Sus scrofa: one gene and its partners. The protein of the gene in region 3 interacts with the protein of the main gene of each other region in a biochemical or structural test. Links are inferred from orthologs where the notes say so. Each region holds a gene or a part of one and is shown on either strand. Other genes may lie near its edges.

Region 1 (3,641 bases), on a different chromosome or scaffold from region 3:
GGTCCGACTCGCTGCCACTGCCCCCAGCTCCAGCCGACCGGCTCTCCTTCTCTCGACCCAGGGCCCGACGGCTGCTCCCGCCAGCACTTCGGGTGGACCCACTGCTTTTGCTTCCTGGGGTCAAGAAGTAGGGAGAGGAATGGGCCAGTCAGTGTCAGGCCTGGCTTCTCCTGGGACAGGTGGCCGTTGCCGGGGCAACCAGGAGCAGAACCCGGTGGTCCTGAGCCTGGGGCGGGGGTGGTGGGCAGCCATGCAGACACGAGGGCTGGGCTGGCCTCGCCCGGGGAAGCAGTGGAAGCAGACGGGGGACAGCGGAGGGGGGCAGACAAGCAGGGACATGCCGAGGCCAGCTTGTGCCTGACTCCTCACCCCAGCGCCTGAACCAAGGGCCTGGTCTTGCTGCTGAGAAAGCGAGGCCCAGAGAAGACCCTGTGCGCCCGCACACCGGCCGGCCGTTCTGGACGCCCCGCCCCAAAGACCCTCCTCTGATCTGACCCCAGAACCCCGGCCAGCTGCTCAGCTCAGCCCCTCCTGGGCTCTCAGGAAGTGCCGGAAACCTGAAGACGCCCCCTGGCTGGGGACGTGCCGACAGGGGCGCGGGGCAGGACCCTGGCTTACCGGCCCTGAGGGTCCGTTCCGCTAGTCCTTCAGTCTAAGGCTTGCTCAGCACAAAGCAAGGGACAGAGGAGTTACACACCGGCCCGGCCCGGGCACCCACCCCGCCGCCCAGGGCATGCCCCCTGCCAGCTGGACCTGTCCAGGGCCCACAGGCACCTGACACAGCTTCTCCCTGGACTCTGTTGCCCTCTGAGCAGCTGCTCTCCGCACCCCCTCCGGTGTGCTGGGTGCAGGGGCATGTGCCGGCTAACCTCCCTGACCCTCAGCCTTGGGACACTATTCCCATGAAGCTTCTCCTTGGGGACCCCGAGCCCCCACCTCTGCCCCACTTCCCCACGCATCTCCGCCACAGGCCGCGTGTGTCTGCGAAACTGCCCCTTGCTGGTTCCAGGCCACCACAGGGGGCCGGGGGAGGTGTCTGTCCTCCACTACGTCCCAGGGCCCCGCATGTCCCCCCACACCCCCAGCCCCCATTCCCACACCACCTCCTGCCTCGGCCTCTGCCACGTCTGGAACACCAGCGCCCCCCCCCAACCCCTGAAGCTTCTAACCACTCACCCCTTCCAGAAGAAGCCACCCAGGGCCCGAGCACAGAGCAGGTGGGAGCGCACAGGGCGGGGGGCGGGGAGGGGGTGGGCAACAGGGCAGAGCCAGGTGGGCAGGCAGGGAGCTGGACGCTGGCCGGCGGGCCCTCACCTTCACTCTGCTGGCTCCCAGCGCTGCCGCTGCCGTAGCTGAAGCCAGGGTCCTGGTACGCGGGTGGGAAGCAGGGCGGGGGCCCCGGGTACTGGTAGGGGTAGCCCTGGCCCAGGGGCCAGGGGGCAGCCGGGTGGGGCAACGGGGCCAGCGTGTCCTGATCGGAGGCTCCACTGGAGCCGCTGTTGAGGTTCAGGGCTGCGAGATCTGCAGGAGGGGGGGCAGGTAAGGGGAGGCGGGCGGGTCCTCCGGGGCCCTCTGCCCGTGGCCCCCACTCACTGCTGCACAGGTCCCCGAAGACGTAGTAGCACTGCTCGGAGAAGGTGACCTTGTTGACCGTGTGCCGCAGGAAGCCGCGCTTCAGCATGCTGCTGGCGTACCTGCGCGCCTCCCGCCGCTCGCGGAAGCCCTCCAGGTGCGTGTACAGCCAGTCCACCACGTCCGCCCCTGGCGCAGCCGGCGTCAGGCGTCAGGTGGGGAGCCTGGGCCGCGCCCCACCGCCCCCAAGCCCCCCGCTGCCCAGGGCCCCGCACCGATGACGGCATTGGCGATGGTGATCTTGAGCCACATGCGGTCGCGGATCTCCAGGCCCGAGTCCGGCAGCTGCATGACCCGGACGACAGCACCCATGTCACTCTTCACCGTCAGGGGCGCCTCCTCCAGCTCTGCAAGGCACACCCCGCGCTCAGCCACGGCCGGGAGCACAGCCGCGAGCACGGCCGCAAGGACCCTCCACCACCCACCCGACCGCCCGCACAGGGTCAGGGAGCGGCCTGGGGCGGGGAGGGTGGGGCCTCATCTCCAACAGGGAGATGCTTCACCAGGTCTTGTGGCCAACCAGGCGAGGCCACCCCCGCCCTGCAGACCGGACCCCACGGGGCGGAGACCAGACCCCCTCCACCCCCTTCCCCGCAAGCTGGGCCTATTAGTCATGTTAGTGGCAGAAAAGCAGCGTGAGGGCCACACGGATGCCGCCTGCCCCTGCCAGATAGCAGACCCTTGGGCAGGCCCGGCCCGGCCCCCCAGGCCCTTCCCTCCCACTACAGACAGAGGGCTGGGAAGAGGGTGCGAGCGTGGGCGCCCATGTGTCCGTGACCCCAGGGTACAGTGTCCGCCCTCGTGGGCCTGGCACCAGCACCAACGCTCAAGCCGGGATGGCCCTCGGGGGTGGCCGTGCCAGGCAGGCGCCTCGGCTGGGCCCTCACGGGTGCCTCCGTTTTCTGATCTCAGGAGCCGCCACTTACGCGGAGCGCCGGGCACAGAGCTGGTTAGTGAGGAGGAGCTGGTGCGCGTGACGGCGCTGGAGCAGGGGCTCGTACCGTAGCGGGGCAGGGCTCCGGTCAGCGCCGCCGTGTGGGACAGCCAGGCGGCCGGGTCGATGGGCCGAACCGGGTCAGCTGGGCAGCCACCGTGTGGCGACAGACGAATGGACAGTGGGGAAGAAGGCAGAGCACAGGGGCACAGGAGCACAGGGAGAGAGGCCCTTCAGGCTGGGCTGGGCGCCCCCGCCCCCGCCCCCGCCCTGCCCCGCCAGCCCCGGGGGGGTCACTCACCCCTCGGGATGGTGAAGTAGCTCCGAGGGCTTGGGTCCCAGCACTTGGCCACCGTGAGGCTGATGGGCCTGCGGGGTGGGCGGGTCACACCGGCGAGGCCCCAAGCAGCACCCCCTCCCCCCGCCACGCGCGCGCCTCACCCCGTCTGGGACACAATCTCCCGCAGCACCCGCACGGCGTCGTCGTTGCTCATGTTCTCGAAGTTGACGTCATTCACCTGGGGCGGGGGGTCAGCACAGTGGTGGGGGGTGCAGACCTCGCCCGCCCCTCCCCGCGGCCCCTGGCAGCCCCACACCTGCAGCAGCATGTCGCCCGGCTCGATGCGGCCGTCGGCGGCCACAGCCCCGCCCTTCATGATGGAGCCGATGTAGATGCCGCCATCGCCCCGGTCGTTGCTCTGGCCCACGATGCTGATGCCCAGGAAATGGTGCCTCTCTGCGGGGCCGGGTGTGTGAACAAGCGCCCCCCGCCCCCGAGCCCCGGGCCCCTCTGGCGGCGGCGGCGGCAGAGGCCTCACCCATGTTGAGCGTGACGGTGATGATGTTCAGCGACATGGTGGAGTCCGTGATGCTGCTGAAGGAGGAGGCCTGCGGGGGCGGCCCTGGGTGAGGGGCTGCGGGCGGCGCGGCGGCCCCAGGGGACAGAGCGGCCCGCACCCCCTCCACCTACGCGGTCCGTCTGGCGCATGCGCTGCTTCCGCCGGCGCCGCTTGTGCTTCCGGATGAGCCGGGACGAGGTGCTCTGCTCGGTGGAGCTGCTCAGCCTGCGGGGGCA
Region 2 (3,641 bases), on a different chromosome or scaffold from region 3:
TATGCACCATGATCCTAGTGCTGGATACAGTACCTGCCTTTATTTATTCACCAAATAATTTATGGAAGACTTGCTTACATCAGTCAGGGCCCAGTTGGGACAATAGAAATCATAGTAAATATTTAAAACAAAAATGGAACACAGATGTCTCTGCAGAAAGTAGCTGTTTCTCTGACGACAGGTCAGAGGTTAGAGTTTCAGGGTGTGAGCCGGGCCTCAGAGGAGGGGACACTGCTGTGGGTACTGTCACCTCGGAGGGGTTTGGAGGTCTGATTTGGGGGTGTGGTAAAGTCTGGAGAATGGAATCCACTGCTGCCGGCAGGGCGAAGGGCTAGCTCCAGGCAGTGCGGACCAAAGCCAGAGCAGACAGGAAGGAGCCAGGCGCCTGCCCCTCCCCCAGCCACCCTGTCTCCCTCTGGTGCCTCTCAGGGTGCTGGCCAGGAACCACAGAGGACAGTGTCTTTTGCACAGTCCAAGTGGAGTCTGGACTGGTGGGTTTGCAGGTGATGGGTAGGAGGTTCATACCTGGCGCTGCCTGCTCCTTCGACCACTCAGTATAACCACACTTTTCTTTATGGAGTAGTTTCCCCTTAAAAGATGCAATTCCTCACAAAATTGAGGTTCAACATTGTCTATTAAGAGACCCATGTTAAGTGTTTTATGCTTTGCTGGCCACACGTCAGTACATACAGAGAACTCCAAGTACAGAAGAGAACTTGTAGACCCAAGATAAGGCCTTGGTGATGGCAGACAAGGCAGAATGTGGAGGCAGATGGCCCTGGAGGGTTAGTGGTGGTGAGGGACTGGGGTCTGCATTGTGGAAGATAATCAGGGGTATCATCTGATCTCTGTGCTGCTGTGTGGAGAATGGTTAGTGGAAGGGCAGGAGCTGAAGCAGAGCTGATCTGGAAGGTTGTGAGAGTAGCCCTTGTCACATGTCATTTGTCAGAATGGGCAAGGGGGCAAAGGTCATAGGATGCTGCTCATATGCTCGCAGTGGAAGAACATGTAGTAAGTTCTTGAGAATACTTGCTAGAAGAAATAAAAATTACTTTTCCAGGAGTTCCTGTTGTGGCGCAGTGGTTAACGAATCCGACTAGGAACCATGAGGTTGTGGGTTCGGTCCCTGCCCTTGCTCAGTGGGTTAAGGATCCGGCATTGCCGTGAGCTGTGGTGTAGGTTGCAGACGTGGCTCGGATCCCGCGTTGCTGTGGCTCTGGCGTAGGCTGGTGGCTATGGCTCCGATTAGACCCCTAGCCTGGGAATCTCCATATGCCGCAGGGGCGGCCCAAGAAATAGCAAAAAAAAAAAAAAAAAAAAAAAATTACTTTTCCAAAAGGAAAACCCACTCCAAAGCTCTTCCTTTTTGTCCTATATTCCAGCTAAGCTAAATTCATTTTCTTATGTTTTTCTTTTTCTATCTCATTACTTGATTTATAGTCCCCTATAATCATTGAATCTTTGTAATTCCTTAAAAACAATATTTTCTGGTATTGTAATTTGTAGCGTTGCTGTGCGTTATCAACTTTAGAATGTGCTGTTGGAATTACCATGAATTCTGAACAAATCAATTTGCAGTCTGCAGTATATGTATGTGTAGTTTTCCCTATTATTGCTACTCTGAGCACCACAGTTATTAGGTAGGTCAGTGCTTCAAGAAAACTTGAAAAATATGAGGATCTTGAAACAGTACCTTACTGAGCCCTGGGGCAGCTATTCTAGGGCAGTCTGGTTTGTCCAGAGATGGTTAATCCATAGGTGAGAAATGTTTGTCTTGTGTGGGTCAGCACTCATCTGATGTACACTTTTCTTTCAGTCTTCACAGTGGATTTAAAGTTACCCTTTTTATAGAAACTCTGAAAGGGTAAGTAGATTGTTGAAGATGAGGTCATATGACAGAACCCTCTGGAAGATGCTGTGCGAATTTCAGCAGTGTGATATGGCCTTTATAAAAGTTCAAGGATAATACATTTGAGTTGAAGACAAGCCAAAGTCCACATTAAACATCATGAGGCAAAACTTTTAAAGGATCATTTTTGCAAAAATCAGACTATCTGAAGGAAGTAATTTGCAGATTACATTTTGTGAAACCACAACTGAATATATTTTTTAGATTTTTTTAGGGAGACTGTTTGTATATATTGTATATATTTGTGTTTTTGTCAGCAGTTGGTTGCAAGACCTTCCAGCATGAACTATATGGTGGCTCCTGTAACTGGTAATGACGCTGGAATCCGTAGAGCAGAAATTAAGCAAGGGATTCGTGAAGTCATTTTATGTAAGGATCAAGATGGAAAAATTGGGCTCAGGCTTAAATCAGTAGATAATGTAAGTATTTTTAATATTTACCTAAATTTGTCTAAATAGCTTAGAGGATATTAAGGGAACAATGTTAATTTAAAATGTAAATGTTTTAACTATAATGGTATCTATAATTGACAGTATTTTAAATCTCAAGATGCCCTATTCTGAAGAGGCAAAGTTGTGACTTCCAATATTATTTTCAGTGGATTTTTCTTTTTTGAAGTTGTCTTCCTAGAATAAAGTTCTAAGTCTGCAGGTATTATAACAGTTTATACAGTTAGAATTCTGGCTAAGGCAACACTCGTGGAAGTTGAGAGAAGACTGACCAGTGAGAATCAGTGGTCTCATATGTAATAAGCTAAATAAACTAAATGAGGGTCATCTAAGCCAAGATGTGGCGGTACAGGCTTGGCTTTCGGACATTTGAGTTGAATATGGCATTTTCTGGGCAGCAGTGAGTGGACCTCTTACCCTACCAGACTGAAGAACTTAACACTGGCCCCTCGGAGGAAGCATCTAGGATGGTGGAGGACCTGCTGGGTCTGTACTGTGTCTGTGGTTTTCTGCAGTACTTGATTCCTTTTCAGTGCTCGGTCTTGTTGCTGTGTGTGCCCAGTCTTTGTGGCACTTGGCCGAAGATGCAGGTAGCTGGTCTTGGCAGGAAGCCCCAGCCCGCCGGCCTGCCTCCCTGAGGTGTGAGGGTCTCGTGTCTTTTGCACACTTGTGGTTTGGGCAAGACACGTCGGCTCTGAGCAGCTTGGACTTCACTGCCCTGCCCTCCTCTTCTATGAATAGTTTATGCTGTGCCCCCTGCTCCCCAGCAGAGAAAGAACCCACGCTCTCCACGGCCCATCCGCCACAGCAGTTAGCCTTGCACTGCGTGTGTCCGCTTGGCTGAAGCTCCTTGACCTGACTTTTGCAGGAAGCTGCCTCGTTTTCAGGTTCATTCCAGAAATAAGGCACATGAGATCACATCCAGCCCAGCTTGAAATGGGAGAATGGAGCTGGCTAGCCTTGGAGATACTTTGTTGTGTTCATCAGGCTTACTCTTTTATATGTATTTGTATTGTGTTCAACATCTGTGATAAGACTGACAGACATAAGTCTCAAAGTAAAACTATCCATGTGGGTTCAGTTCTTAAACTGGAGTGGTATTGAAGATGGTTTTTTTTTTTTTTTTTTTGGTCTTTTTAGGGCCACACCCACAACACATGGAATTTCCCAGGCTAGGGGTCCAATCAGAGCTATAGCTCCTGGTCTGCGCCACAGCTGCTTTGGGATCCGAGCCTCGTCTATGGCCCACACCACCGCTCACAGCAATGCTGGATCCTTAGCCC
Region 3 (4,350 bases):
CCAGAGCCGGAAGAACTCAGAGCAACCATCGGATCTCAATCCTCTCCACTGGCCCGGGTCGGCCTGGACCGTTCAGGATTTACAGCGTTGTTATCATCATCACCATCATCATCATCACCCTGGAGTCTCGGCCACAAGTCTTTTCATCCAAACCGCCTTTCCACTCAGGCCTCCTTTCCAAACCCACGCCTCGTCCCAAATCTACACGTTATCGTCTCTCTTCCAGGTCACTTCTCACTGGAGGGGAGGGAGGTTACAGAAACAAGCCCCCCACCCGGCAATTCTGTCCCTACCGCGCCTTTCCCCCTGCGAGGGGGGTGGGGGTGGGAGAAGGAAGGGTGGGGGAGGGGCTGGGGCTCATACCGCCGTCTCCCCCTTGCTGCTGTGGCTGAGTCTGTGGTAGAAGCGGCGCCACGACTGCAGGGTCTTGCCGGACCAGATCCAGAAGCCCGTGGTGATGCCTACGATCATGGTCATCAGGTATTTGATCATGAAGACGGTGAAGTCAGGGCTCATGGGCGGGAAGTGGCCGGGCGGGCAGGGAACCGCGTAGCTCTTGCACGTCTGCAGGAGCCAGGTGCGCTCCCAGTGTTCGCGGAAGGCCTGCTCGTAGAAGTAACAGGCCAGGACGATGGTGGCGGGCACGGTGTAGAGCACGCTGAAGACGCCAATGCGCACCATGAGCTTCTCCAGCTTCTCCGTTTTGGTGCCGTCGTGCTTCATGATGGTGCGGATGCGGAAAAGCGACACGAAGCCGGCCAGCAGGAAGGACGTGCCGATGAAGAGGTAGACGAACAGGGGCGCCAGCACGAAGCCCCGCAGCGCGTCCACGCTGGACAGGCCCACGTAGCAAACCCCGCTGAGCAGGTCCCCGTCCACCTGGCCCATGGCCAGGATGGTGATGGTCTTGACAGCGGGCACCGCCCACGCAGCCAGGTGGAAGTACTGAGAGTTGGCCTCGATGGCCTCGTGGCCCCACTTCATGCCAGCGGCCAGGAACCAAGTGAGCGACAAGATGACCCACCAGATGGAACTGGCCATGCCGAAGAAGTAGAGCACCATGAAGAGGATGGTGCAGCCCTCCTTCTTGGTGCCCTGCGCCACCGTGCGGTAGCCGTCTTCTGAGAAGCGCTCCACGCACACGGCGCGGTCCTCCAGCAGGAAGCCGGCCACGTGCGCCACGGCCACCATGAAGTAGCAGCCCGACAGGAAGATGATGGGCCGCTCCGGGTAGCTGAAGCGCCGCATGTCCACTAGGTAGGTGAGCACCGTGAAGAGCGTCGAGGCGCAGCACAGCACTGACCACACGCCCACCCAGAGGCGGGCGAAGCGCCTCTCCTCCTCCTTAAAGTACATGAGGCCGTTGGCGCGGCCCGGCTCGCAGGGGGCGCCGCAGTCGCGCTCGCCCAGGAAGCGGTAGCCCAGGTAGGGGGGCACCTTGAGCTGGCGGGGGCACGAGAAGGGGAAGGCCGAGCGGCCCCTGCCGTCAGCGGCTCCCGGGGGCAGCGCGGTGAAGGGCAGGTCGGGCATGTAGGGCGCTGTAGGATAGGCGGTGGGCCCGCCGCCTGGGCCCCCGGAGCCGTCGGACGTGTTCTGGCCCACGCAGATCTCGCCGGCGCCGTGCACAGGGAAGTTCTCGCAACGCAGCCGCTCGGGCCATTGGAAGCCGAACTTGTTCATGAGCGCCTCACACCCCTGGCGGGCACGCTCGCACAGAGAACGGCACGGCGGGATGGCCTTATCGAGCACGGTGCACACGGGTGCGTACATGGAGCACAGGAAGAAGCGCAGCTCGGGAGAACACTGCACCTTCACCAGCGGGTAGAACTGGTGCACCTCGAGGCCCGCATCTTCTTGGTTCGTGTGACCCAGCAGGTTGGGCAGGATGGTCTGGTTGTAGGCGATGTCCGTGCACAGAGGGATGGAAATAGGCTGGCAGAAGCCGTGGTCCGGCACTGAGATGCCCTTCTCGCCGTGGTACGGCTGCGCCCCGGCGCCCGCGGGCAGTGCGCCCAGCACTGCAAGCACCATGGTGCACAGGCCCAGAGGCGAGGGCGACGCTGCCGTGCGGGGGCCCCGCATCGCCGGCCGCGGGTGCAGCGGCGCTCTCAGCCCAAGAAACGCGACAAGACAGCCAGGAGAGGCTGGGATCCCGGCAGGCGCCGCCGCGCCGGGCGCATGAGAGTCCTCCCGGCGCCGGGGCCGGGCCGTGGGCGGTGCGGAGCCGAGGGCGCTGTAGCTAGGGTGCTCGCGCCGCAAGGGCGCCGTCGCCGCCGCCGCCTCCGCCCAGCACTCGCGCAGCCGCCGGGGGCCCAAACACGTCTGCCTGGGCCGGGGGCGCCGATGGGGGGGAGACGCCTTTTCCTCGCGCCGGGACGTAACGGTGCGGCTCTTTCTGCGGCGAAGAGCAACAAGCGTCTCCGGTTACCCTTCAAAGTTTGCCCAAGTCTCTTGACTCACAGCGCACAGTAACGCGCGCGCCCCCCGCTTGCGTCTGGGCCCCCGGCGAGCGAGAGCCCGGCGCCGCGGCTTGCTAGCCAAGGCCGCCGCCTCTGCGGTGCTGCTCCGCCTCCTTGCCTCGAGGCTCAGTTCGCCGCCACCTCCTTCTCCGCCGCCTTCTTCTCCACTCCCTGCTCCTTTTTCAGCCCCAAAAGCTTGTCCCCAAGTTTCAGCCAAACGGTTGATTCTCGTTCTGAGTCCTATCGGCGTCTTGGAGCCAAGAGCTCTGCGAGTTCTTTGAAGAAATCCAGTCACACTGCGTCCAAAGCTATGAGGCCCCCGTGCTCGCGGCCTGGGCCTGGCCTCTCCAGTCCCGCGCAGCCCCGGCCGGTGAGTCGCGGCGCCCGCCGCCGCCGCCGCCCGCCGGGAGGGAGCGCAGAGTAACGTCTCGGAGCCCAGCAACTCCGCAGAAGAAGCGTCGCGCTCGCAGGATTCCGGGCCGCCCCGCCCTCTCCCCTCCCCCCATTCACAAACCACTCCGGGGGCGGGCCCTGGAGCTCCAAGACCGCCCAATGGCAGCCTTTGTTTTCTGTGTGGTCGCCTCCGGATTGGGTGGAAGTCGGAAGGGGCGGGCGAGGGAACCCGAGAGGCACAGTCTGCAGCGCTCTGGGCGGATTCCTGAGGGGAGGGGCGGGGGCTGGGAGGGAAAAGTTAAGAAAAACTTTTACCGTGAATTCGCTGGGGGGAGCGGAGGGGGGAACGCACCAGAAAGGGAATTTGCTTGAAAGATTTGTTCCTCTTCCGGGTACTCTAAAATACACATTCCTGAATAGAAGGGCGCACGGGGGAAGTTTACGGGGAGAAGCTGAGAATAGAGCAGCGCCACGGCAGATAGGGACGTGACTCGGAGTCACGTTAGCCCTCCCCGAGCTGAAAATGCTGGGCTTGGCGGGGGACTTTTGGGTAGCGGGGTCCTAAATGAAGGGTTCACTATGGGGCCAGAAAAGGGTGCGCATCGCGGATTGCTTTTCTCTCCCCCGACTCTAACAGACCACGTGAGGCCACAATCCCCTCTCATCCCCGCTCCCAGTTGTAAAAAGGAGGAGGGGCCGCGACCGCGAAGAAATTGGAGTCGGGCGAAGGGGCCGACGTAAGGCGGGAGGAAGTGCAGACCCCTTGGAGGGGAGAGGGTTGGGGAGCCGCGGGCGCTGGGGACCCCGACCCCAAGTCACCCTGCCCGCGAGCACGGCCCAGGGTCTAGCGATCTGGTATAGCTTTAATGGAGCCATAAGAAAACAGTGTTGGGGGAAATGGCTATTAAAAACAAAAAACCTGCGACCCGAGTGCCCAGGAACACTGTACGGTTTAGAGAGAGTATTTATCCTCTTTTTCTTAGTTCTGCGGCGTGTTGGGATCCCATCTTTGTCGCAGAAGCAATGATTTGATCCTTGGAATATGCGTTGAAAAGTTTAAATGGGTATTAGAAACCAAGGGCATTTGCTAATTAGTTTTCAAAACACAAAGAGAAGTTATCCTGTTTTCGGGTAGCGTTTTCCGATTGGCAAGCGTTCTTTTGTTCCCGGTCAAATCTTCGCCCTGCTGAAGGCAATGGGCGCTCGCGCGCGCGCCCTGCTTACTCCCGACGAGATCAGAAGTTAGGAGGGAGGGGGGCCGCTCTCCCTTCTCGCTGGACAGCGAGGAATATCCTGAATTCCCATGCAGGAAAATGACAATGTTGAGAAAGGAAAAATCTGCTTCTCCCTCTCTGTCTCCCTCTCTCTCTCACACACTCACGCACAAAGCAATCTTACGCCTTAGAAAACGTTACTCCTGGCGGAGCCCTTTCCTTCTGTCAGCTCAGTTCCAGGCGCTGGAGCCCTGAGGGATTTCTGATTGGGATGCATGTTTGCA

The links.
Region 1: the proteins of FZD7 (region 3) and DVL1 form a complex in vitro, tested with the Homo sapiens proteins (2 studies listed by BioGRID and IntAct, with this or other methods). The link is inferred for Sus scrofa from reciprocal best matches to the Homo sapiens genes FZD7 and DVL1.
Region 2: the proteins of FZD7 (region 3) and SDCBP interact in a biophysical measurement, tested with the Homo sapiens proteins (2 studies listed by IntAct, with this or other methods). The link is inferred for Sus scrofa from reciprocal best matches to the Homo sapiens genes FZD7 and SDCBP.

The regions. Positions count from the first base shown.
Region 1 is NC_010448.4:63,618,928-63,622,568, forward strand, and holds part of DVL1 (segment polarity protein dishevelled homolog DVL-1), read right to left. Parts: intron 3,631-3,641; coding exon 3,537-3,630; intron 3,455-3,536; coding exon 3,385-3,454; intron 3,303-3,384; coding exon 3,163-3,302; intron 3,085-3,162; coding exon 3,008-3,084; intron 2,936-3,007; coding exon 2,868-2,935; intron 2,712-2,867; coding exon 2,559-2,711; intron 1,980-2,558; coding exon 1,848-1,979; intron 1,762-1,847; coding exon 1,315-1,761; intron 115-1,314; coding exon 1-114. UniProt on the Homo sapiens protein: Participates in Wnt signaling by binding to the cytoplasmic C-terminus of frizzled family members and transducing the Wnt signal to down-stream effectors. Plays a role both in canonical and non-canonical Wnt signaling.
Region 2 is NC_010446.5:74,301,051-74,304,691, reverse strand, and holds part of SDCBP (syntenin-1 CG9291-PB), read left to right. Parts: intron 1-2,166; coding exon of another isoform or gene 2,167-2,169; coding exon 2,170-2,328; intron 2,329-3,641. UniProt on the Homo sapiens protein: Multifunctional adapter protein involved in diverse array of functions including trafficking of transmembrane proteins, neuro and immunomodulation, exosome biogenesis, and tumorigenesis.
Region 3 is NC_010457.5:105,642,743-105,647,092, reverse strand, and holds the start of FZD7 (frizzled-7), read right to left. Parts: upstream 2,930-4,350; 5' UTR 2,083-2,929; coding exon 358-2,082; 3' UTR 1-357. UniProt on the Homo sapiens protein: Receptor for Wnt proteins.